Macaca mulatta: one gene and its partners. The protein of the gene in region 1 purifies or fractionates together with the protein of each later gene. This does not show direct contact. Links are inferred from orthologs where the notes say so. Each region holds a gene or a part of one and is shown on either strand. Other genes may lie near its edges.

What was found.
Region 2: the proteins of DBN1 (region 1) and HOMER1 purify together in Homo sapiens (co-immunoprecipitation; 3 studies listed by BioGRID and IntAct, counting the BioPlex papers as one, with this or other methods). This does not show direct contact. The link is inferred for Macaca mulatta from reciprocal best matches to the Homo sapiens genes DBN1 and HOMER1.
Region 3: the proteins of DBN1 (region 1) and GSN purify together in Homo sapiens (co-immunoprecipitation; 3 studies listed by BioGRID and IntAct, counting the BioPlex papers as one, with this or other methods). This does not show direct contact. The link is inferred for Macaca mulatta from reciprocal best matches to the Homo sapiens genes DBN1 and GSN.
Region 4: the proteins of DBN1 (region 1) and HOMER3 purify together in Homo sapiens (co-immunoprecipitation; 3 studies listed by BioGRID and IntAct, counting the BioPlex papers as one, with this or other methods). This does not show direct contact. The link is inferred for Macaca mulatta from reciprocal best matches to the Homo sapiens genes DBN1 and HOMER3.

The regions. Positions count from the first base shown.
Region 1 is NC_133411.1:186,453,968-186,459,674, forward strand, and holds the start of DBN1 (drebrin), read right to left. Parts: upstream 3,418-5,707; 5' UTR 3,305-3,417; coding exon 3,219-3,304; intron 2,814-3,218; exon of another isoform or gene 2,559-2,813; intron 1-2,558. UniProt on the Homo sapiens protein: Actin cytoskeleton-organizing protein that plays a role in the formation of cell projections. Required for actin polymerization at immunological synapses (IS) and for the recruitment of the chemokine receptor CXCR4 to IS.
Region 2 is NC_133411.1:85,877,054-85,882,786, forward strand, and holds the start of HOMER1 (homer protein homolog 1), read right to left. Parts: upstream 3,449-5,733; 5' UTR 3,351-3,448; coding exon 3,346-3,350; intron 1,580-3,345; exon of another isoform or gene 1,013-1,579; intron 1-1,012. UniProt on the Homo sapiens protein: Postsynaptic density scaffolding protein. Binds and cross-links cytoplasmic regions of GRM1, GRM5, ITPR1, DNM3, RYR1, RYR2, SHANK1 and SHANK3.
Region 3 is NC_133420.1:36,868,906-36,873,498, forward strand, and holds the end of GSN (gelsolin), read right to left. Parts: intron 2,648-4,593; coding exon 2,587-2,647; intron 1,569-2,586; coding exon 1,399-1,568; 3' UTR 1,164-1,398; downstream 1-1,163. UniProt on the Homo sapiens protein: Calcium-regulated, actin-modulating protein that binds to the plus (or barbed) ends of actin monomers or filaments, preventing monomer exchange (end-blocking or capping).
Region 4 is NC_133424.1:19,490,890-19,495,822, forward strand, and holds part of HOMER3 (homer protein homolog 3), read right to left. Parts: intron 2,755-4,933; coding exon 2,647-2,754; intron 1,153-2,646; coding exon 1,031-1,152; intron 238-1,030; coding exon 81-237; intron 1-80. UniProt on the Homo sapiens protein: Postsynaptic density scaffolding protein. Binds and cross-links cytoplasmic regions of GRM1, GRM5, ITPR1, DNM3, RYR1, RYR2, SHANK1 and SHANK3.

The DNA of each region.
Region 1 (5,707 bases):
CTGGGAGTTCCTGGTCCAACTGTTACCCCCAGCTCCAGCCTGACCCTGACAGCTGCTCCCAGCACAGCTGGCCCACCACCTGTTCTGCTGCCCTAACCCACCACGGGAACAAAGGGCCCTGAGAGAAGCAGGCTCTGTCCCTCTCCATGCACAGATGAGAAACTGAGGCAGAGCCCAGGGACCCTAGTTCCTAGAGACTGCTCTAGACATCAAGCGTCCCTGAGAGGACCTGTCTTGGCCTGCCCAGGCTCCCTGGGGCGCCTTCCATCCTCAGCCCCTGCCTACCCACCTCCGGCCACCTTTTCCTGCTCCAGCGACAGCCCTTCTCCAGCAGAAACCATACCCCAGTTCAAACCCTCCAGCCTGCCTTTCCATCAGACTGCCCTGTCCACACCACACACTTGGGCCACACTGGACGGCTCCCTGACCCAGGCAGGGTTCTGGACAGGGCTCACCCTGGAGCCTCTGCCTATGTTGTTCTCTTCACATGGAAGGCAAGACCTGCTCCTCTACCCCACGCTTATTCCCAGTGGAATCCTCCCGTTCTTCAGAGCCCAGTGCTGGCTGCTGGCCCCCGGCAGCCTCCCCTGAGCTGCCCCTCCCAGAGCACCCACCACATCCCAGCAGGAATACAAAGACCAGTGCTTCTCAAACACATCAGAGGCATCCCGAGCCTGGTGCTGCACCAGGTGGAAGCTGGTGAAACCACAGGGAATCAGGATGGGGTAGAGGACCCCTACATATCTTACCAGCTCCAACTCCTAGAGACAGACACTGCCCCCAACTGTAAGCCTCCTGAAGGCAGGAACGCTGACTCAGTCAATCAGCACATCCTGCTCTCTGGGTCCTGGGGTCCAGCACACCGCACACCATAAGCATGTGTAATATTGACACCAACTTAGAAGCCATCTAGCCAGAGATACTGAACTAGTGTGAGATGGGAGCTGGAATGTGGCAGTTCCAGAGACCCTCGGGTGAGCTGGGGTTGGGGGGTGAGGGCAGGTGGACCCCTCAGGACCATCACTCTCAGGATGGTGGTGCTAGAAAGTCCTTCAGTATCTGAGGTAGGGCTGGGCCCAATCCTTTTTCTTTCCAAGAGGACCAGGAACTTGTATATGATCACAGTGAGTCATATCACAACCAGGACAACAGCGGCCCCTCCCACTATACAACCTCATTTCCTGGGTCCCCTGCTCCCTGTGCCAGAGTAGTGGTCCACTTCAGAGGCCCTGCCACCTAGAGTGAACTCCCCCCCAACCACCCCTCCCCATTGGAAGCAAGGTAAGCGGGGGCAGACAGCCATTTACCCGACACCCCTCCCTCTGGACCTACGGGCAGCGTCTGCCTCTGAGTCTTCAGACCTCACTGCACCCCTGGTTCCATGCTGGGCACTGGGGTATTCATATCCTCTTGTGCAGAAAGTGATCCTCACACCCCTTTTTCAAAATGTGATCTGGGCCCGTAGTGAACAAATATGTGCATGTGTGCATCTGTGTGTCCCACACACAACCCAGATGGGGGGTGACGCACACCAGTGATGAATAACTCGCTTTGGCCACATGGATGCTGCTGGGGTGGGGGGGGCAGGCCTCTGTTGAGCAGGATGTTGAGCAACAGGGGTTCTGTGGCCCTGGCAATAGGCCACCAGGGCTATGCTTTTAGGAGAAAATGGGGTGGTGGCAGACAACACCCCTCCAGGCTGGAGGGCGAAGGAGGTGTTCTGGGGTGAGCTGTGCCTCTCCCCAGGCGGGGCCTTACCCTGAAGCCAGCTCCTACACCAGGCCAAGCCGGCCACTTGCCCAGAGCTCCTCCCATGATCTCAGCCCCCTGGGGCAGGGCTGGGACAATGGGTGGGCCGCCTGCCTGCTGAGTCTGTGCTGGCCTCTCCTGTGACTGACCTGCAGGACACGAGAGCTTGTCTCTCTCGCGTCCATCCCTCCAGGCCTGGCTGCTGGCCAGTGCTGCAGTACCATGCCATGGATGCCCAGCCATCTCATCCTCTCCTCCAGGAGCCCCCAGGTCAGAGTCTCCACCTGACTGCCCGCCCAGTGTGTGGGTGAGGCCAGCCCAAGCGGGGTCCTTCAGACCCGCCCTCCTCTTTGCCTCAGTTTCCTCAAGAAGAGCCTGTTCCCATCTGCCAGCGGGGAGAGGAGGCCTAGGAACCAGATGGGCACCTTCCCCAAGAGTATTACGGGGTGGGGCGGGGAGGAAGAGGATTCCAGGATGGGGCAGTGAGGAACCCCTCGGTTTCTTCTTTCCGCCGCCAGCCAGCCCCAGAGCAGGTGGTCCATCCCCTCCCCCAGCTCAGGGGGAGACAGCAGTTGGGGGGCGGGGAGAGGGGCGGCCCAGCTCCTCCCCCATCAGGGACCGAGGGCCCCTTGGTAGGGGCCCGTGGATCTGTTCACCCCTTCAGCCCTCTTTCGGGGCTCCCTCCACACTTGTTCTCCAGAGGGCTTCCTCCCAGGGACCTCAGCTGGCGCCCTAGACAGGCAGCTCAGTGCCCCCCAGCCAGCTGCCTAGTCCCCGCAGTCCCCTTCAGGTAGGGGAGGAGAGCTCACCCCTGCCTCCTCCGCGACCCGCGGCGGTAAGGGAGTCACTTCGCGGTCGCCATGTGGCAGCAAACATCCTTCCACCTCACTCCAGCCCAGGTTTCCGGGGGGAGGGCGGCCCACTCCGAGAGGCCCCCCGGTGGGCGGGGCGCCCGGCCCCCATCCCGCTCCGCTCCTCCCCCGCCCTCGCTTTCCTTTGTGCTGTGGCCGGGCCGGGATGAACCAGGCAGGCTGCGCTGGCTCCGCTAGCTCGGTCCCCGCCCCGTCCCCACCCGGACCTCGCCCGCTCGAAGGTGGCGAAGGTGCCCTTGGCCGCCCCGTGCACACCTGTCCCCCGGGCCCGGGGGTAGGGTGGGGGATGGGCTCCCGCAGGGCCACGCGGCCCTGGGCCCCACATCGGGACCCCGCGCCTCCGGGCCGCGTCCGGCCGCCGCTCCCACCGCGCGCCTGGGGCCGCCTCCGGGCACTTGGGACCCGGCAGTGCCCCGCCTGGCCCGCCGGCCCCTCCCCCGGCGCGCACAAAGGCAGCCCCTCCCGGCCCTCCCGGCCCGCTGCACCATTTCGGGGTCCCCCTCCCTTCCCGGCGGCGGGGCGGCGGGGCGGGAGAGAAACAAAGGCGCGGCGGCGGCGCGGGGACAAAGGGGCCGGGGGCGGGGGCGGGGGGCTCACCAGTCGGCCGCGCTCTCCTCTCGGATCACCTCCTCGTACGCCGCCAGCAGCTCCAGGCGGTGGCCGCTGAAGCTGACGCCGGCCATGCTTCGGGCCGGACCGGGCCGAACGGACAGACGCGCGGACGGACGGGCGGACGGAGGAGGAGGGAGGGAAAGAGGGAGTCGCCGCCGCCGCCTCGGAGCCTCTGCAGCGTCGCGAGCCGAGCGAGCCAGCGGCCGGGGGAGGGGAGCCGGCCGGCGGGGGGCGGGGGGCGCTGGCTCCGCCCGGCTCGCTCCCTCCGCTCGCTCGGTCCTAGCGCCGCCCCGGCCCGGCCCAGGGGGAGGCCCGCCCCCCCTTCCCGGCCTGCCCCGGGCGCCCCCGCGCCCCTCACCCGCCGCCCCTGCGCTCCGCTCCGGGGCCAGCCCCACCCACGTCCCGAACCCTCACCTGCCCCGTCCGTAACTTCGGCGCTAGCCCTCCTTCCAGCCCCGAACCCAGCCCCGTCGCCACCTCCCCCCGCCCACCCCCCGTCCCAATCCGGTCCCGCCCCACCCATTGCTTCATTGATCTCCATTCCTGGTGCGTCCCACTCCATGTTAAACCCATTTTCATCCCAAGCCAGGTCACACACCAGCCCACCCCTGGCCCGTCTCCTTCTCTGAGAGGTCCATGCCTAGTCTATCATCATATCCACTGCCATCTGCATCCCACCCTCAAATCCAACCCAGTTCCTTTCCCATCCCAGCTTCAGCCCCATGCTTAGCACTTTCCCCCTCCCCCGCAACATTTCTCACGGCAACCTCTTCAGTCCAGCCCATCCCAGTCTCATCCTGATCCCAGTTCCCAATTCCCAACCACAGTCCCCCATCTCGGCTCCATGACCAGTTATTCCAGGCCATTCTCAGCCGCTACCCGGCTCATTATCCCTCCATTCCAGGCCTCTCCTCCCCTCCAAGCCTGTGCCCTCTGAGACGGGGCTAGCTAGGAAATCCTTTGCGTTCTCTCCCAAGCCTCAGGCATCCCAGAGGAGTCCCAAGTAGAGTCCCGGAAGCAGCACCTAACCCCAGACTCCCAGGGCAGAGCTCCTCCAAGGACGCTCAGGGCCAGCCTCTTGGCACCTTTATCTCCTAAAACTCTAAGCACAGAAGGGGAGGGGGCCTCAGAAAAGTCCCCTGCAAGGGAGTGGACACCATGCCAGGGCCTCCCAGAACTCCGTTCCTTGCTGGGTGAGGACCCTGAAACCGTCCACAGTGCTCAGTGGACCACAACAAAGTCTCCAACCTCGACCTCCCTGAACAAACTTCACCTGGTCCCATCCGCACCACGGAGGAGGAGGTGGTTCTAGCCCGGCCTCCGAGTTCTGCACTGGGTAACTGGCTATGCCAAGAGAAGGAGAGCAGTGCTGCCTATGTGGCAGCGGTTCCTGGTGCTCTGGAGTTGGGAGAACCCTCTTAAAACTCAAAATGTTCACAGGCCCTGCCTTGGGAAGTCAGTGCCCACTATGTCTAGGGACCACTGGCCGTGGCAGTTTCTCCATGGCCTCTACTAGAGTGAGGCCCAGGCAGGGAGAGACCCAGGCCCTGTGCACTGGACCAACTGGCCAGTAGGTATGGTTGGCATGCAGTGGGGATCCCTAAGGGAGTGGGTGACACAAGGTGGGAAAGGGAAGTGGGGAGAGCCATGGGGGACAGGGCTTCAGTCATCCCCCACCCTGAGGCATGAGAGCAGAATTCTGGGGAGGAGGGAGCCGGGGAGGGGCAGACAGATGGCTGGCCATGAGCATCTGTGGCCTCAGCCTCTTCCAACTTCCTTTGACTTGTCCTAGCTCACAGCTCCTCACCAACCCCCCGCCCGTCCCCCCACCCCCCAGCCTCCTGCACACTCAATTTTGCATCCAAAAAACAGAAGCCCTAAATGCATCTAAGCTCTTCCTTCCTCAAATTCCTGCCTCCCCACCAGCCACCTACAAACTCTCCAGCCACGCCCACTCTCACCTCTTGCCATCAACATTTTTTAAATAAACTTTCTATTTTAGAACAGTGTTAGATTTACAGAAAAGTTACAAAGATAGTATAGAGAGTTCCCATACACCCTGCACTCAGTTTTCCCTATTTTCAGGGAAGCAAGGGTGTTCCCTGCTGGCATGCCCTAGAGCCCACTCCTCTGGTCTCCGCACCCATCACCCTTCCATGTTATCTTCATCCCCTCATTTCTATAGGATGCAGACAGACATCTGTCCTCTGTCTCCTTCTCCCTGCATTTTCCCTGGCACTGCTCTGGCCAAGGTCACCAGTGACCCCTGACTTGCCAAATTCAGTGGACCCATAGTTCTCAGTTGCCCTGACTGGGGGCATGGGTGGCCACTGGTCACTGTTCTCTGAGAACCTGCCTCCTTTCAGCTGCCGTTGCCCCTGAAGCCCACACACTCAGCCTTGGTGGGTGGGCGGCTGGTGGGTTCCTCCCACCAGGACTTCGTGTCTGCCACCCCCAAACTGATCACCCTTCAA
Region 2 (5,733 bases), about 100 Mb from region 1:
TGCCTACTCTAATAGTTCTGAAATAGCTACTGATTCACTGCTGTCATTATGAGATACTATTTGGAGGTGGGGGGTGGGGGGTGGGGGTCATACCTAACAGGGGCTTCTCACAGAGGTTTCAAAACTTTTCAGAGACTTCATTTTATATATGTGAATGCCTTAATTTTTAGGGGATGTGATACACCTATTTTACAAACCCATACTTTAGTTGCCTTCACTGCAATTAACAGTTCATGCAACATCCAAGATACTTTGACAGACTTTGCCAACTGTCAAGTTTCAGCTGTTCTTTTCCATTTCCACAAAGTTCATAAACTACTATTAGGGGAGCCATAATTTTTTTCTGCCCAATCACTGATTTTATTAAAAATAATTCCTTTGCTTAGACTGCCCCTAGACTTGCAATAATTATCTACAATTAAGACAAAGATAAATCCTTATCATAACCTAACATTAGTTTAAAAAAAAAAGTTGTAATATATGAAACACTTTACCCAGAGTATTAAATGTTAGATATCTATTACAGCAAGGTAATTAATGATTGCTAAGGTAAAGCTTTAAAGGCCATTTAAAGCCCTGTTTCCTTTTGTTTGAAATAGGCCCAGGCAGCTATGCGAATTCCACAAACATTTATTAGGCATAAATACGCATAAAGTGTAGAAACATCAGCAAATGCCTTTGCTTTGCTGTACGCTCTTCTACTTCCACCTACCCTTCCTCTCTCAACTCAGATAAAACAAGGCACTATCAATGAGAAAGGGTAATAGCCCCAAACACAGGCTTTCCAAAAAATAGCACCACAAAATGCTCGCTCCTTTTTCTCCTCAGTCCATATATAGGACTTTATTGACTAAAGGACAGATACATTCATTTATAAACAAATTAATTATGCTAAGTGTCTAAATACATGTTATGTGTGGGGCTTACTTTCCCATTTTAAACAGTAGCCCCTTCAGTATTAAATTCATCCTGTCTCTTCCGGTTCTAGGCACTTCAGGAGCCGTAGCTTAAGGTGCAAACATAACCAAGACCAACAACCACACCACACACAACCAGTCCTGAAAATGGCACAGAAATGGTATCAAGAAATCCCAATCACAAAGATACGAATCTCTTAAGGGGGTGGACCCCAAGTTCCTGAGGAACATGCGATTTGCCAAGAAACACAACAAGAAGGGCCTAAAAAAGATGCAGGCTAACAGTGCCAAGGCCATGAGTACATGTGCCAAGGTTATCAAGGCCCTCATAAAGCCCAAGGAGGTTAAGCCCAAGATCCCAAAGGGTGTCATCCGCAAGCTCAATCAACTTGACTACATTGCCCACCCCAAGCCTGGGAAGCATGCTCATGCCCGCACTGCCAAGGGGCTCAGGCTGTCCTGGCCAAAGGCCAAGGACAAGGATAAAACCAAGGCCCAGGCTGCAGCTCCAGCTTCAGTTCCAGCTAAGGCTCCCAAAGGTGCCCAGGCCCCTACAAAGGCTTCAGATTAGATATCTGTCTGCCAACGTGAGGACAGGACTGGTGCAACCCCCAACCAGGCTGCCACCTGCATGGGGCTGGGGTCCTCCTGTGCTATTTGTACAAATGAACCTGAGGCAGGAAAAAAATATTCAGCCTAAGCTTCCCTTGGTAAAATGACAGGCATTCATGCAGCTTAAAGGTTGTGGAAAACTGATTTTCTTCCATGATGCTACTACTTCACAGTCTAGACAAAATGCAGCCATCAACATGAAAAACTGCTGCTTGATTTTTTTTTCCTCCAACATGTTTTAAACAGAGCTGCAGATGCTCAAGGGAAGCCATATTTCTAAGGTTTTGAACAGTAGTATTTTTCAGTATTTTTCTCATGTAAAATTGGTGCAATTCATCCAGAACATTTTTCAAATGCCATTATTTTTCAGCGTTAAGTGCTTAAACTGCTTAGAGAGAAAAAGGTCTCCATCAGAAAGATCGACTTCCAGAAACCAACTAGTGATCATTAAAATGAGGAGAATAAAAAGAAAATAATTCATTTTTTACAGTTTGAAGAAATCTTTAAGTCATCTCTAATTCCTTCATTTTACAGATAAGAAATAGAGTCCACAGAGGTTAAGCAATTTGCCTCAGATCACTAAGCTACTAATAGCAGCGCTAGAAATAGAATGAGGCATTTTAATTACTCTTAGCAGTACCCCCAAATCATGCAAGTTATATATACTCTCATCACTTGTCATTCAAGTTTTTAAAACAATTATCACTTTGTCATTCATTTCTGAGGAAAGTCTCCTACAACACGTTCTAAATTTTCAAAGTTATGCATATTAAACTTCAAATTCTAACTCCAAAAAGAAGGTACTATTCAGGAACTTTCCTCAGAAAGTTTCAAGCGTGTGTACACCCCTAAACCATCACAATGAATTTCAGAGTCCATTCTTTCAAAACCTGTCCCTCAACTACACTTTAGATGTGTTTGTTCAACGACACACACACACACAAAGAGAGAAAATTCTGGATGTTCTTCCGCCAAAAACCAATGACAATCTGTCAATGAAATCAGATTACTCCATTAATATATTATGGGTTTCCAGCTTAAATTAGGAAGTGTCACTAGCATTTCATCAACCCACAGTGTGAAGAGTTAATAAAAGACTGGAAAATGCACTCTAGGTTGGTTCTGGGTCCGAAGGAAGGTGTAGATCTGATATTGTTAACACAAACTGAAGGGCTGAGCTTAAAAGCGAAAAACAAAAGGAGTGAACAAGTTCCTTAAACAAAAAGCCTTTTCGTACGGAATGCACCCGCACCGTGGTGACCGCATCAGTAAGACTGAATTTCAGATTTTCGTTTTAACGTCCCAGTAAATCAATTCTATACATTTTAGCTTTGGATATTCAAGGGCAAAAGAGAGGGCACCGTGAGGGCAACAATTTACTCTGGATCACTTTCAAGGACTGTTGTCTAACCACTCATTACAATCGTTCCTTTGTGCAACTGATTATCTAAAAGTACTGAGAGAGTGTAGTACTTCTCTTTGAAAGATAACCATCAGCAAAAGCTAAGACAATGTGATTCTGATGACAAACTGATGCAGCAGTCTGACCAGTAAAGTGTAGAATGCGTTGTCTTTGTAAATATTACTCACAAATCCATATTCAAGTTACAAACGATGTATGTGTTTACGACCTCTGGTACCGCTCTACAAAAAGGCAAAAATAACCTAAAAGGTTAGCATGCCTATTTCTTTAAAGTATGACCAGCTTAGCAAGGTGGCAAGTTTGTTTGAAAACACAAAACGCAATCACCACCACCGCTCAATAATACACATACATAAACAGATTCGAAGCTGTGTTAAGCACAAAAATCCTTACCCCATTTTGCCCAATGAAAACTTGCTCTGAAGTTTCAGCTCTTATGCTACGGAATAACTTCCAAAGGAATTTCTCCGTCTGCTATTTCGCAGTTGATTTTCCACCCCCACCCCTAGATCCTTGTCCGGAGGTATTTCAAGGATGCTGCCAATTCAATTAGTTCTCTTAGGTAAAATGATTTCTTTCTTGTAAATACCAAAACGTTCAAACAGAGGCGGCATTTGCTTATTCGAGTTAAAACGCTTTGCGGAGGAGACAGCGATCAATTCTATTCCACAAAACGAGTCTACAAGTAGGAAAATGCAGAATCCGGCTTCACCGAGTCCTATAAAAAAATGAGTTCGCTGGTCATTTCACTCATGTCCTCCTCGACACTCAGGGAAAGCCAGGTAACTCGGCCTTTTCAGAGCTAAGGCTGCGGGTTCAAATTTCTCCACCACACCAGGTCCCCGGGGGTGGAGCGAGCAACCAAACGCGACGTGCACGTGAATAAAAATCCCAAAAGCAGTAATGCCACGGCTTCCCTGCGCTCACATTAGGAAAAAAACTACATAGAAAAATCTCCTCGAAGTGCAAATCCGGCAGCTCCCAACCTGCACGGCACTCCACATTGGAATCTGTCTTTTTTAATGTTTCTTCTCCTAAGACTCGGAGCAGAGAAGAGGTGGGGAGGAGGAAGAGAAGGCTGGGCAGGATCGATTCATTCTCCCGAGGAGAATAAACGGAGCCATTTCCAGGCTGGCAGCAGGCTGGGGGCGCAGCGCACGCCGGGGAGCTGGAGAAGGGGGCCCGATCCCACCTCCCTCAGCCCCTTCCCGCCCCCCGCCGCCGAGCACAATGGAGCCCGGCTCGCGCCCGGCCCTTCATTCGCGGCTGCCCCCTCTTCCCTCCTCTCTTCAGAGCACAGCGGATCTGAGGCTCCCGTCGGCGGAGAATGAATGAATCACAGAGCCAAGCCCCACGCTTCCACTGGCGCCCTGCCCCCAGCTCCAGGGCGGGCGAAAGGGGCCGAAGGGTCGACGGGCGCCTGCCCGAGCCAAGGCGGGAGGCTAAGACCGCGTCGGGGCCAGGAGAGCTGGGCTCGAAGCCGAAGCGCAGCCGCCGCTCCAGCGCCCCCACCCCTGCTCCTCGTCTCTCACGCTCCGCGCCGCCGCCACGCGCCGCCTCACATTCCCCGGGCCCCGCCGCCGCCTCTTCACACTTCCATCAGCGCCCGCCTCCGCCGGCCTCCGGCTCCCGCCGGGCAGAGCAGCGCCAGCCCCGGCGGCCTGAAGCCCGCCGCTGCCTCCGCCTGCACCGGCCGGCTGGCAGAGCGGAGGGTGCCGCTTTCCCAGTCAGCGCCGCCGGCGTGAGGCGAGCGCGGAGGCAGTGGGCTGCGGGGGGCGGGAAGGGGGCGGAGAGAACGGGGGGGCGAGGGCGGTACCTCCCCCTGCTCGCGGGAGAGGGCGGGAGGCGGTGGCCGCCGCGGAGCCGCGGCTGGGGGCTGGTGCGCGGACGGGTCCCGGGAGCCCGACGGGCCCTGCGGGCAGTGGGCAGCGGGAGCAAGCAGCAGCCGCGAGGCGGCGGAGAGGATGGTGGTGCGGGGCCGAGCGGCCCTCGTGGGGAGCTGGGCCGGCGGCAGGCCCTCAGTCCGTCCGTCCTTGTTTTCCCCCCTCCCCTAGAGGCCGGCGGCTGGCGGGCCGTGCGCTCTGCTCCTCCGCTGGCTCTTGGCCCCGCTCCCGGCCGCCACAGCCTCCTCCGCGCCCCACACCAGGTGCTCGCGCTGTGTCTCCATCCTCCCCGCAGGAGGACCTTTAAGTAGCAACGTCAGCGCGCTCCTCTCCGCACACACGTCACCCGCTGCTCACGTCACCGGGGTGCGGGGGATGATGTCACGCGGCCGGAAGTACTGCTAAATTAGGGAAGGAGCAGGGGGAGGAGGACTCGGCGAGCTCCTGTGTGCCCACCTGCTCTCGCTTCTCCTTAAAGGCCAAAGCACAGGAGACAGCCCGAGAGGAGCTCGAACAAGGAAGCGGCGGGAGGAGATTTCCTTGCAACAAATGTGCCAAACCGGAGTGAATCATTCGTAGCAGAAGTGCAGAAGTGTCAAGCGGGTAATATCCTATCTCCCACTCCCACCGCTGTTGCAGCAGCACCCCCGGGCTTCTCCTGTCCTAACTAGCAGGGAAATGTGGGAGGGAGAGCCTGATCACACTACTGGTAGATGTACTTCCAACAAGAACTTCGGAAAAATTACCTCAATTTTCAGTTATTGAGTGCCATTCTGGACGTAGTGGACTTTTAAACTTTTTCTCTTATTGGTTACCTGAAACACGAAAGAATAAAGAGCAGAGCAATAAGCAAACGAAGTAATGTTATAAAGGATAGTAATTTTATTTGCAAAAGAGC
Region 3 (4,593 bases), on another chromosome or scaffold:
AGTCCATTGATGGCTAAATAAACCAGATGTGGTATAGACATGCAGTAGAATATTACTCAGCCACAAAAAGGAGTGAAAAGTTGATACATGCTATAACAGGGATAAGTCTTGAAAACATTCTGCTAAGTGAAACAAGCCACACACAGAGGACAAATGTTGTGTGATTCCACTTAAATGAGGTCCCTGGAATAGTCAAATTCTGAGACTGAAAGTAAAACACAGGTTACCAGGGGCTGGCGAATAGGGAAGAATGGGGGATTAGTATTTAACGGGCAGAGCGTTTATACTGGGGATTATCAAAAAGGTTTAGGTACAGAGAGTGGTGATGGCTACACAACACTGTATATGCAATGTTACCGAAATACACACTTACAAATGGTTAAAATAAATACGTTGTTATGTAGTTTGCCACAGTAAAAAACAATGAAAATGGGACTATACCATTAAATTTAAAAGGAACACTGAATTTGGCTTTGGGACTGCCGACAAGCTTTGCCAAATCTTCCTGGATTAAATAAATGACCACTAAGACACTTCGTGCAACCTTCTCTCCCCTTTTTCTCCACCTAGGGTCAGACCTGCGTCTAGGGTCTGATGGCTCTCCCAGTCTTCCTTGGTTCCCCACCTATTTCCTTTTTTTTGAGACAGAATCTCGCTCTGTCGCCCAGGCTGGAGTGCAATGGCACGATCTCAGCTCACTGCAACGTCCGCCTCCTGGGTTCAAGAGATTCTGTCTCAGCCTCCTGAGTAGCTGGGATTACAGGCATGTGCCACCACACCTGGCTGATTTTTTATTTTTAGTAAAGACGGGCTTTCACCATGTTGGCCAGGCTGGTCTTGAACTCGTGACCTCAGGTGATCCGCCCGCCTCAGTCTCCCAAAGTGCTGGGATTACATGTGTGAGCCACCGCGCCTGGGCCCTCCCTATTTCCTTTCACATAGGTATCCCCCAGGACAATCTACACACCTCTCATCTCACTGTGGCATCGCCTCTCAGGGCACCAGGATTCACACACAGGGTGGATGCAGCTTTTCTGCTAGTTCACAGGCAAATGCGAGGCACCTCTCTGGGCATTCTCAGAATTACCAGGGACATAGACAGGGCAGACGCTCGCTCTCACTGTCAGATGGACACAAGGAAACAGCTGAGCCACACTAGAGTACACACTTCAAAATGTTTTTATTGAATTTAATTTCCCAAACACAGATGTTTTAGACAATTTTGCAAGGACCCTGAATTTTTGCAGGGCTATTTTTGGATACTGTAAAAAACAAAAAAACAAAAAAACCATACACACACACTCATAGCAGAGTTGCTCTGCTCGCTGTAAGGCCTCTTTGAGGGAAGGACAGTTCCAAAAGGCACTGACCGGTGACATGGGTGGGTCCTGCCCCTCCTCAGGCAGCCAGCTCAGCCATGGCCCTGTCCAAGGGATCCACAGACCAGTAATCATCATCCCAGCCAAGGAACCAGCCCACGAAGGAGGGAGGCTCAAAGCCTTGCTTCACCACGGTGATGGGCGTCCGCCGATCCCGATTGGCTGGGTCCGTCTCGATGTACCGCTTAGCTACAGACACACGTGCAAGAAAAGGAAACCCCAGGAATTCTTAGTGCCTCCCACACCAGGGAGAGGGTGACTCAGGACAGCAGTTGACAAAGAAGGTCAAAGGTCAAAAGACAGTAGGTCAAAGGTCAAAAGACAGTAGGTCTATGGTCCTACTGTCCCTACTGCCCACCCCCTGCCCTGGGCACCATCCTCCTTTAAAGGCATGATACCCACGTGGGTTCTCTACCACCCTGCTCAGGAACACAGGAAGGGATGGAGTTATGGCTTAACCTCCTGCTTCATAAAGTTTATTACTTTCCCTTGTAGTCCCCTACTGGAAGATATGGGAACCAATTTTTGGGTTCCCAGCCCATAAATCAGATCTATTCAGCTACCCGGAATCTGCTTTGCAACATCTTTTTCTTTTTTTTTTTTTTTCATTTTGAGACACCATCTCGTTCTGTCACCCAGCCTACAGTATAGTGATGCAATCATGGCTCACAGCAGCCACGAACTCCTGGGTTCAAGCAATCCTCTGACCTCAACCTCCTGAGTAGCTGGGACCACGGCTACACACCAACACACCTGGCTAATTTTTTTGTATTTTTTCTAGAGATGGGGTTTCACTATGTTGCCTGGGCTACTCTCAAACTCCTGGGCTCAAGTGATCCTCCTGACTTGGCCTCCCGAAATGCTGGGATTACATGCATGAGTCACCATGCCTGGCCTGCTTTGCCACATCTAAACCTTGACAAGTTCAGCTCCTGAGTATTCTGGGAACTTGAAGAGACTTCTCATCTGTTCCTTCCTTCCTCTGGAACAGATCAGTTCCTTCAGAAACCCTGAGGCTTCTGAAAGATGTGTTCTTCACTACCCCAGGCAGGACTTATAAGGGGCTGGCCACAGAGGAGGAAGTCCCCACCCTATCTTGTCCATCAGTCCCCTAGAAATGATGCTCATTCCCAGACCTGTACAGAAGCCACTCCCACCACCCCACAAGCAACGGACCCCCCCTTCCCCCAGGGACTTGGGTCCTCACCAGAAGTCAAGGCTTCTGTCTTTTCTTCTTCTTGAGAATCCTTTCCAACCCAGACAAAGACCTGGAGGTGAGATGAGACATGAAAGGTACATGAGGGGTGCTGACCAAATGCACGGCTGGAGGAAGACTGGGGAGGGGCCAGGTGTCAGAAAAGACAAAGCCCTTTTTAAGCCCCTACTAAGAGAGCCCATGAACTAACACTGGAGGAATCTGGAACAGAGGTTGAAAGCCAGCAACCTACAAACATGTTTTGTTTGCTCACCCACCACCTTGTGTTGGCCAACAATGTCTTTTTAAACTATTGGTGACATAAAAATCTAGATTTCCAACTTCTCTTAAAAAACTGGAGGATTTAGCAGCCTGGGCCTTCAAACCTCACTTGAGTCAAGCTGTGCAGGAGCCGGCCCTTTGAGATGGGCGGTTCTAGTTTGCCTCAGACTCCACTGTTCCTTCACATCTCCCCATCCCAGTCTGCTTCACTCGCTAACACTGCCAGCCAGGTGCCATCAGGCATTGAGTTCGAGATTCTTCTCTAAAGGTCCATAAGTTGTCTCTGAACAGCATTCACTCGTTCAACAAATGAGTGGCCAAAATATTCTCACTCATTTATTCATCCAACAAATATGCACCGAGAGTCTACTACATCCCAGTCTGTGTGCATCTTCATCAAAATGGGCCTACGGCTTGGAATAAAAATAACTCACCCACCGTGATCCCCATTTTGAGTCTTGTTACAAGTTTTATGTCACATTATTGAGCTGATTTTTATGTATCATCTATTTTTATGCATATCTAAAATATTACTTCAAAGAGCACCTATCATTGATAAAATGGCATTAGACAGTAAAATGTCAGACTTGGTTTCTCTCACTTTTTTTTAAGACAGAGTCTCACTCTGTCATCCAGACTGGAGTGCAGTGGCGTGATCTCAGCTCACTGCAACCTCCGCCTCCTGGGTTCAAGTGATTCTTCTGCCTCAACCTCCTGAGTAGCTGGGATTACAGGCACCCACCACCACACCTGGCTAATTTTTTTGTATTTTTAGCAGAGACGGGGTTTCACCACGTTGGCTAGGCTGGTCTTGAACTCCTGACCTCAAGTGATTTGCCCACCTCAGCCTCTCAAAGTGCTGGGTTTGCAAGCATGAGCCATCGTGTCTGGCCCTCTCTTACTTATTTATAAATGTGTTCCCAACTAAAGTGGAAGCCCCTCGAAGGCAGGCATTCTATCTATTTTGCTTATCATAGGATTCTCAGCACTCAGCATTTGCCTGGAAGACAGTGGTGCTGAATAAATGTTGGCTGACTGAATCCCTAACAGATGAACAAACAGATTAAGTAGCCAATGGATCAATCAATGACAACTGCTGAATGGCTCAAGCTGCAACCATTTTTGGTCCTGATCTTCCAACCGGGTATTCCGACCAGCACTGTGGGTAGTGTATTCTTATGCCTTCGTGGTCAGTCACTCCATAACTCTGAGGACGCTGGGAGAAGCCACCTTGATAGGAAAGATGACTGACCTGACACCCCCGTGAGAACGTAAGCCCTGGGAGGGCACGAAAACGCCTACTTTATTTATTGCTCTATCCCTAGCATCTCAAACATAAAGCACCTGGTACAAAGCAGTGCCCAATTAATACTGGTTGAGTGAGTGAATGGCACCTTCCCCTGCCAAGAAGTCCTACATAATGGCCTTCTCTAGGAGATGAAGTGGAGACAGAGCCAAGAGCCCCCAAACCAGAAGCAGGAGCCCTCTAGAGTCGCTAGGTGACACTGGACAGTTTATGCCTGCAAACAAGATGCTGCTAAGTTCAACATCCCCCGCCAACAGATTTAAAGGAAGAGTTCATGCTCCTGCAAGGCCTGGGAGAGAATGATGAAGGTCATGTGATTTGGCTTTATAGGGCATTTTGCAGCTTTCAAGGTGAGTGTATCTGCAAGGAAGGTACCGCCACTCCCAGTTTACAGATGAGGAAATGGAAGCTCAGAAAGAGGAAGTGACTTC
Region 4 (4,933 bases), on another chromosome or scaffold:
GCAGATGGGAACTGCGGAGGCGCGGCCTTTACAGTTGCCCGGGCCAGGTGGGTGTCTCCCAGACGGAGGGGTACCCTCACCCGCTGCCGTAGCCGCTCGGCCTCTGCACGCTGAGCCTCCAGCTGCTGCCTCCACTGGGCTGCGGCGGCGTTGGCCTCTCGCAGGGCGCCTGCCAACTTGTTGTTGCTGTCCTGCAGCGCGAAAAACTCGGCCTCCCACTGTACCTCGCCTACGGAGCTGCGGGGACACGAGGGTCGGCAGGGGGTGACACCGGGCTTGAGGGTGAAATCAGGGCAATGCTAGGCTGGGACGGGGACAGGGGTGGGATAGCTCTGAGCTTAGGTCAGGGCCAAGGCTGGCGAGGATGCAGAGTTGGGCGGGAGGTTGGACCAGGGGGCGGGGCCAGGGTGGGGTGGCACTGGGTTGGGGGCGGAGTCAGCAGCAATGCTGGGCTGGGGGGGTGGCCATGGGTGGGTGGTGCTAGGCTGGGGCGGAGTCACGGGCAATGCTGGGCTAGGAGGCGGGGCCAGAGGTGGGGTAGCTCTGGGGTGGGGGACTGAGTCAGGGCCACGCAAGGCTGGGGACGTGGCGACACTGAGCGCTGAGCCTGGGGATGGCACAGTCCCGCAGAAGTGGGGTCTTGTAGAGGACCGAGTCAAAGAAGGGGGCACATGGAATCTACCCAGTGACACTGTCGGAATGGCGGGGGAGGGATGGGAGTTTGGGGAGAGTCAGCCTATGGGGGCGTGGTCGGGGTGGGGAGGCGCCCCAGGATTATCCTAAACCCAGAGAGACATAGACTGGGCGAGGTTAGCAGCGAGACAGGGGTGGGGTCAATACGGAGGGGCGTGGCCAACGCAGGGTAGGGGCGGGGTCGGCTCTGGATGGGGCAGCATCCATATCCTCATCCCCTTCCCCAGATCTTGGGTCCACAGTTAGATCCTTGGCACTCCCTTGGCTTCCGAGAACCGCCTCCTCATCCCCCACCCCGACCCCCGCCCATGCCACGCCCCCAAGTCCCGCCCCTCACCCCTCAGACAGCATCTTCTTTAGCCGCTCCCGCTCTGTGGGGCCGGGGGCATCAGCGCTCTGGCTGCGGAACAGTTTTTCCTCGCCGGGGCCGTTGGCACTGACGAGGGGGCTCGGGGGCACCTGTGCATGGGGAAGAGTAGGTCACGACCCCACATCAGCTGGGATCAAGGCTGATGTGACTGGGGTCGTCACATCGGGGGTCCAACTGACCTACGCACCCTAAGCAGGTCCTTCACAGCACAGGATCCAAGTGTGTCCCTCCCCCACCTCATGCACCCTCCATGGCTCCCTATGGCCCCTAGGCTGGGAGTTCCATGCCCACGCCCTCAACCTTGCCTTCCTGGGCTTTCACCATCCCCAGGAGCAAGTCTGATGCAGGTTAGTCTAAACCAAGATACTTGGAACCTGTAAAGTAGGGGAGGGGGACAATCGAACAGCTCCCTGCTTTCCCTTCCCTGCGGCCGAACTTCAACATCCCATTTAGGATGTCAGCAGGAAGTCCAGCCCAGGCTGAATCCATATTTCAGGAGCAACCCCACTGCCTGGACCACTGGCTTTGAGGGTAGACAGAGTCCAGCCTGATTTTTTTCATCTCAGCAACCCCTCTGCACAGCCCTGGACCTGGTACCCAGCAGGTGCTCAATAAATAAAGCTGACTAAATTAATATGGGAAAACACACAGGGACAGTTAGTTGTTCTGCCTCACACTTAGCCATTTCTTTCTTTCCTTTTTTTCTTTGAGACAGAGTCACACTCTGTCACCCAGGCTGGAGTGCAGTGGCACGATCTCGGCTCACTGCAACCTCCACCTCTTGGGTTCAAGCGATTCTCCGGCCTCAGCCTCAGCCTCCTGGGACTACAGGTGCATGCTACCACGCCTGGCTAATTTTTGTATTTTTTAGTAGAGACAGGGTATCACCATGTTGGCCAGGCTGGTCTTGAACTCCTGGCCTCAAGTGCTCCTCCCGCCTCAGCCTTCCAAATTGCTGGGATTATAGGCGTGAGTCACTGCGCCCGGCCACACTTAGCATTTCAATTTCTAGTCTTCCATCCTGCCATCTGAGCTGATTTTTTTTTTCCCATGACAGAGTCTCACTCTGTCACCCAGGCTGGAGTGCAGTGGTGCAATCTCAGCGCACTGCAACCTCCACCTCCTGGGTTTACGCCATTCTCCTGCCTCAGCCTCCTGAGCAGCTGGGACCACAGGCGCCCGCCACCATCCCCGGCTAATTTTTTTTTTAGTAGAGACGGGGTTTCACAATGTTAGCCAGGATGGTCTCGATCTCCTGACCTCGTGATCCGCCCACCTCGGCCTCCCAAAGTGCTAGGATTACAGGCGTGAGCCACCGCGCCCGGCCTGAGCTGGTCTTGCTACTGGGACCTACTGGGTGCACCCCGCCGGCCCCAGGCAAGGTCCAGACCCTCTATGACACACTCCACACCCCTCCTCCGTGGTCCCTGCCATGGGTCTAACTTTAGGTCATCTGGAAGCATTGGGTCTTGAGGACCAGCACAGTGCCCCAGTCTCCCAATATCAAGGTCCCCTAATATCCGTTGAGCACCTGGCTGACTCACAGGTGCCCAGGCAGGCATAGGAGAGTAGGGAGTGCTGACCTGGTGGGAGGCGAGCCCCAGGGCTGGACTGGTGAGCTCCCCGCCATCCTGAGATTTCTCCCTGGCCAGCCTGGCTGCTTCCTTCACCTCCTGGAACTTCTCAGCAAACTAAGGGAGTGGGGAGGAAAAGACAGTAAAACCCCAGTCCATCCTCCCAAACACGTCACCATCACCCAGTGACAGCCCCGTAACTTTTGAACTGTACCCATCCCCTTATCACACACCTTGGAAGAAGGAAAGTTTGAAGAATGATAAACCACGGTGGGTGGGCAGGTGGCATGAGATCACAGAGGTGGCATTTAAATACATTGGGCCACGCTGAGAAAGGGAAAGGAATTCCCGTTTTCTCTTTTTCTTTTTAGGAAAGGGTCTCACTTTGTCACCCAGGCTGGAGTGCAGTGGCATGATCTGGGCTCACTGCAGACTTGACCTCCCTGGCTCAAGTGACCCTTCTACCTTATCCCTCCACTAAGGAGCTGGGACTACAGGTGTGTGCCCTCATGCCTGGCTAATTTTTTCTAGAGACGGGGTCTAGCCATGTTCCCCAGAATGGCCCTTTTCCTCTTTTTTTTTTTTTTGAGATGGAGTCTCGCTCTGTTGTCCAAGCTGGAGTGCAGTGACATGATCTTGGCTCACTGCAGCCTCTGCCTCAGCCTCCTGAGTAGCTGGGATTACAGGCATGCACCACCATGCCTGGCTAATTTTCATATTTTTTTTTTTTTTTTTTTTTTGAGACGGAGTCTCGCTCTGTCACCCAGGCTGGAGTGCAGTGGCCAGATCTCAGCTCACTGCAAGCTCCGCCTCCCGGGTTCCCGCCATTCTCCTGCCTCAGCCTCCCGAGTAGCTGGGACCACAGGCGCCGCCACCTCGCCCGGCTAATTTTTTGTTTTTAGTAGAGACGGGGTTTCGCCATGTTAGCCAGGATGGTCTCAATCTCCTGACCTAGTGATCCGCCCGTCTCGGCCTCCCAAAGTGCTGGGATTACAGGCTTGAGCCACCGCGCCCGGCCAATTTTCATATTTTTAGTAGAGATGGGGTTTCACCATGTTGGCCAGGCTGGTCTTAAATTCCCGACTTGAAGTGATCCTCCTGCCTCAGCCTCCCAAAGTGCTGGGATTACAGGCACAGCACCCAGCATTTTTTTGTTTTGTTTTGTTTTGTTTTGAGATGGAATCTCGCTTTGTCACCCAGGCTGGAGTGCAGTGGCACCACCTCGGCTCACTGCAACCTCTGCCTCCCAGGTTCAAGTGATTCTTCTGCCTCAACCTCCTGAGTAGCTGGGATTACAGGCCCGCACCACCACGCCTGGCTAATTTTTGTATTTTTAGTAGAGACGGGGTTTCACCATATTGGCCATGCTGGTCTCGAACTCCTGACCCCATGATCCACCTACCTCGGCCTCCCAAAGTGTGAGAACGACAGGTATGAGCCAACACATTGGGCCCCTTTTCATCTTTATCAGGGCTATTTCAACAAAGACAGCCTGAGGTGGGTGCTAATCTGTCTTTAACACCTGTTATTATTCCTTTTTTTAAATTTTATTTTTTTAGGTCTCAGGCTCTGAGAGACATCGGAAGTCAATGAGAAAGTAGTCATCCCATTCTTGTTTTTGTTGTATTAAATGCTTACATGTTTACATTTACCACCTATTTATGACAAGCAATACCAGTTTTCCAGTTAGAATAGGATAGGTTTCCCCCCATACCCTGGTTTTAAAATAAATGTCCTTCGTTTAAAAATAATTTTTGGCCGGGCGCGGTGGCTCACACCTGTAATCCCAGCACTTTGGGAGGCCAAGGCAGGCGGATCACGAGGTCAGGAGATCGAGATCATCCTGGCTAACACCATCCTGGCTAACATGGTGAAACCCCGTCTCTACTAAAAGTACAAAAAATTAGCCGGGTGTGGTGGCAGACGCCTGTAGTTCCAGCTACTTGGGAGGCTGAGGCAGGAGAATGAAGTGAACCCAAGACGCAGAGCTTGCTGAGCTGAGATTGGGCCACTGCACTCCAGCCTGGGCAACAGAGCAAGACTCCAACTCAAATAAAATAAAATAAAATAAATAAATAAATAATTTTTTTTTCAGGCTGGGTGCAGTGGCTCAGGTCTGCAATTCCAACACTTTGGGAGGCCGAGGTGGGTGGATCATTTGAAGTCAGGAGTTCGAAACCAGCATGGCCAACATGGTGAAACCCCATCTCTACTAAAAACACAAAAATTAACCGGGCATGGTGGCGGGCACCTGTAATCCTAGTACTTGGGAGGCTGGGGCAGGAGAATTGCTTGA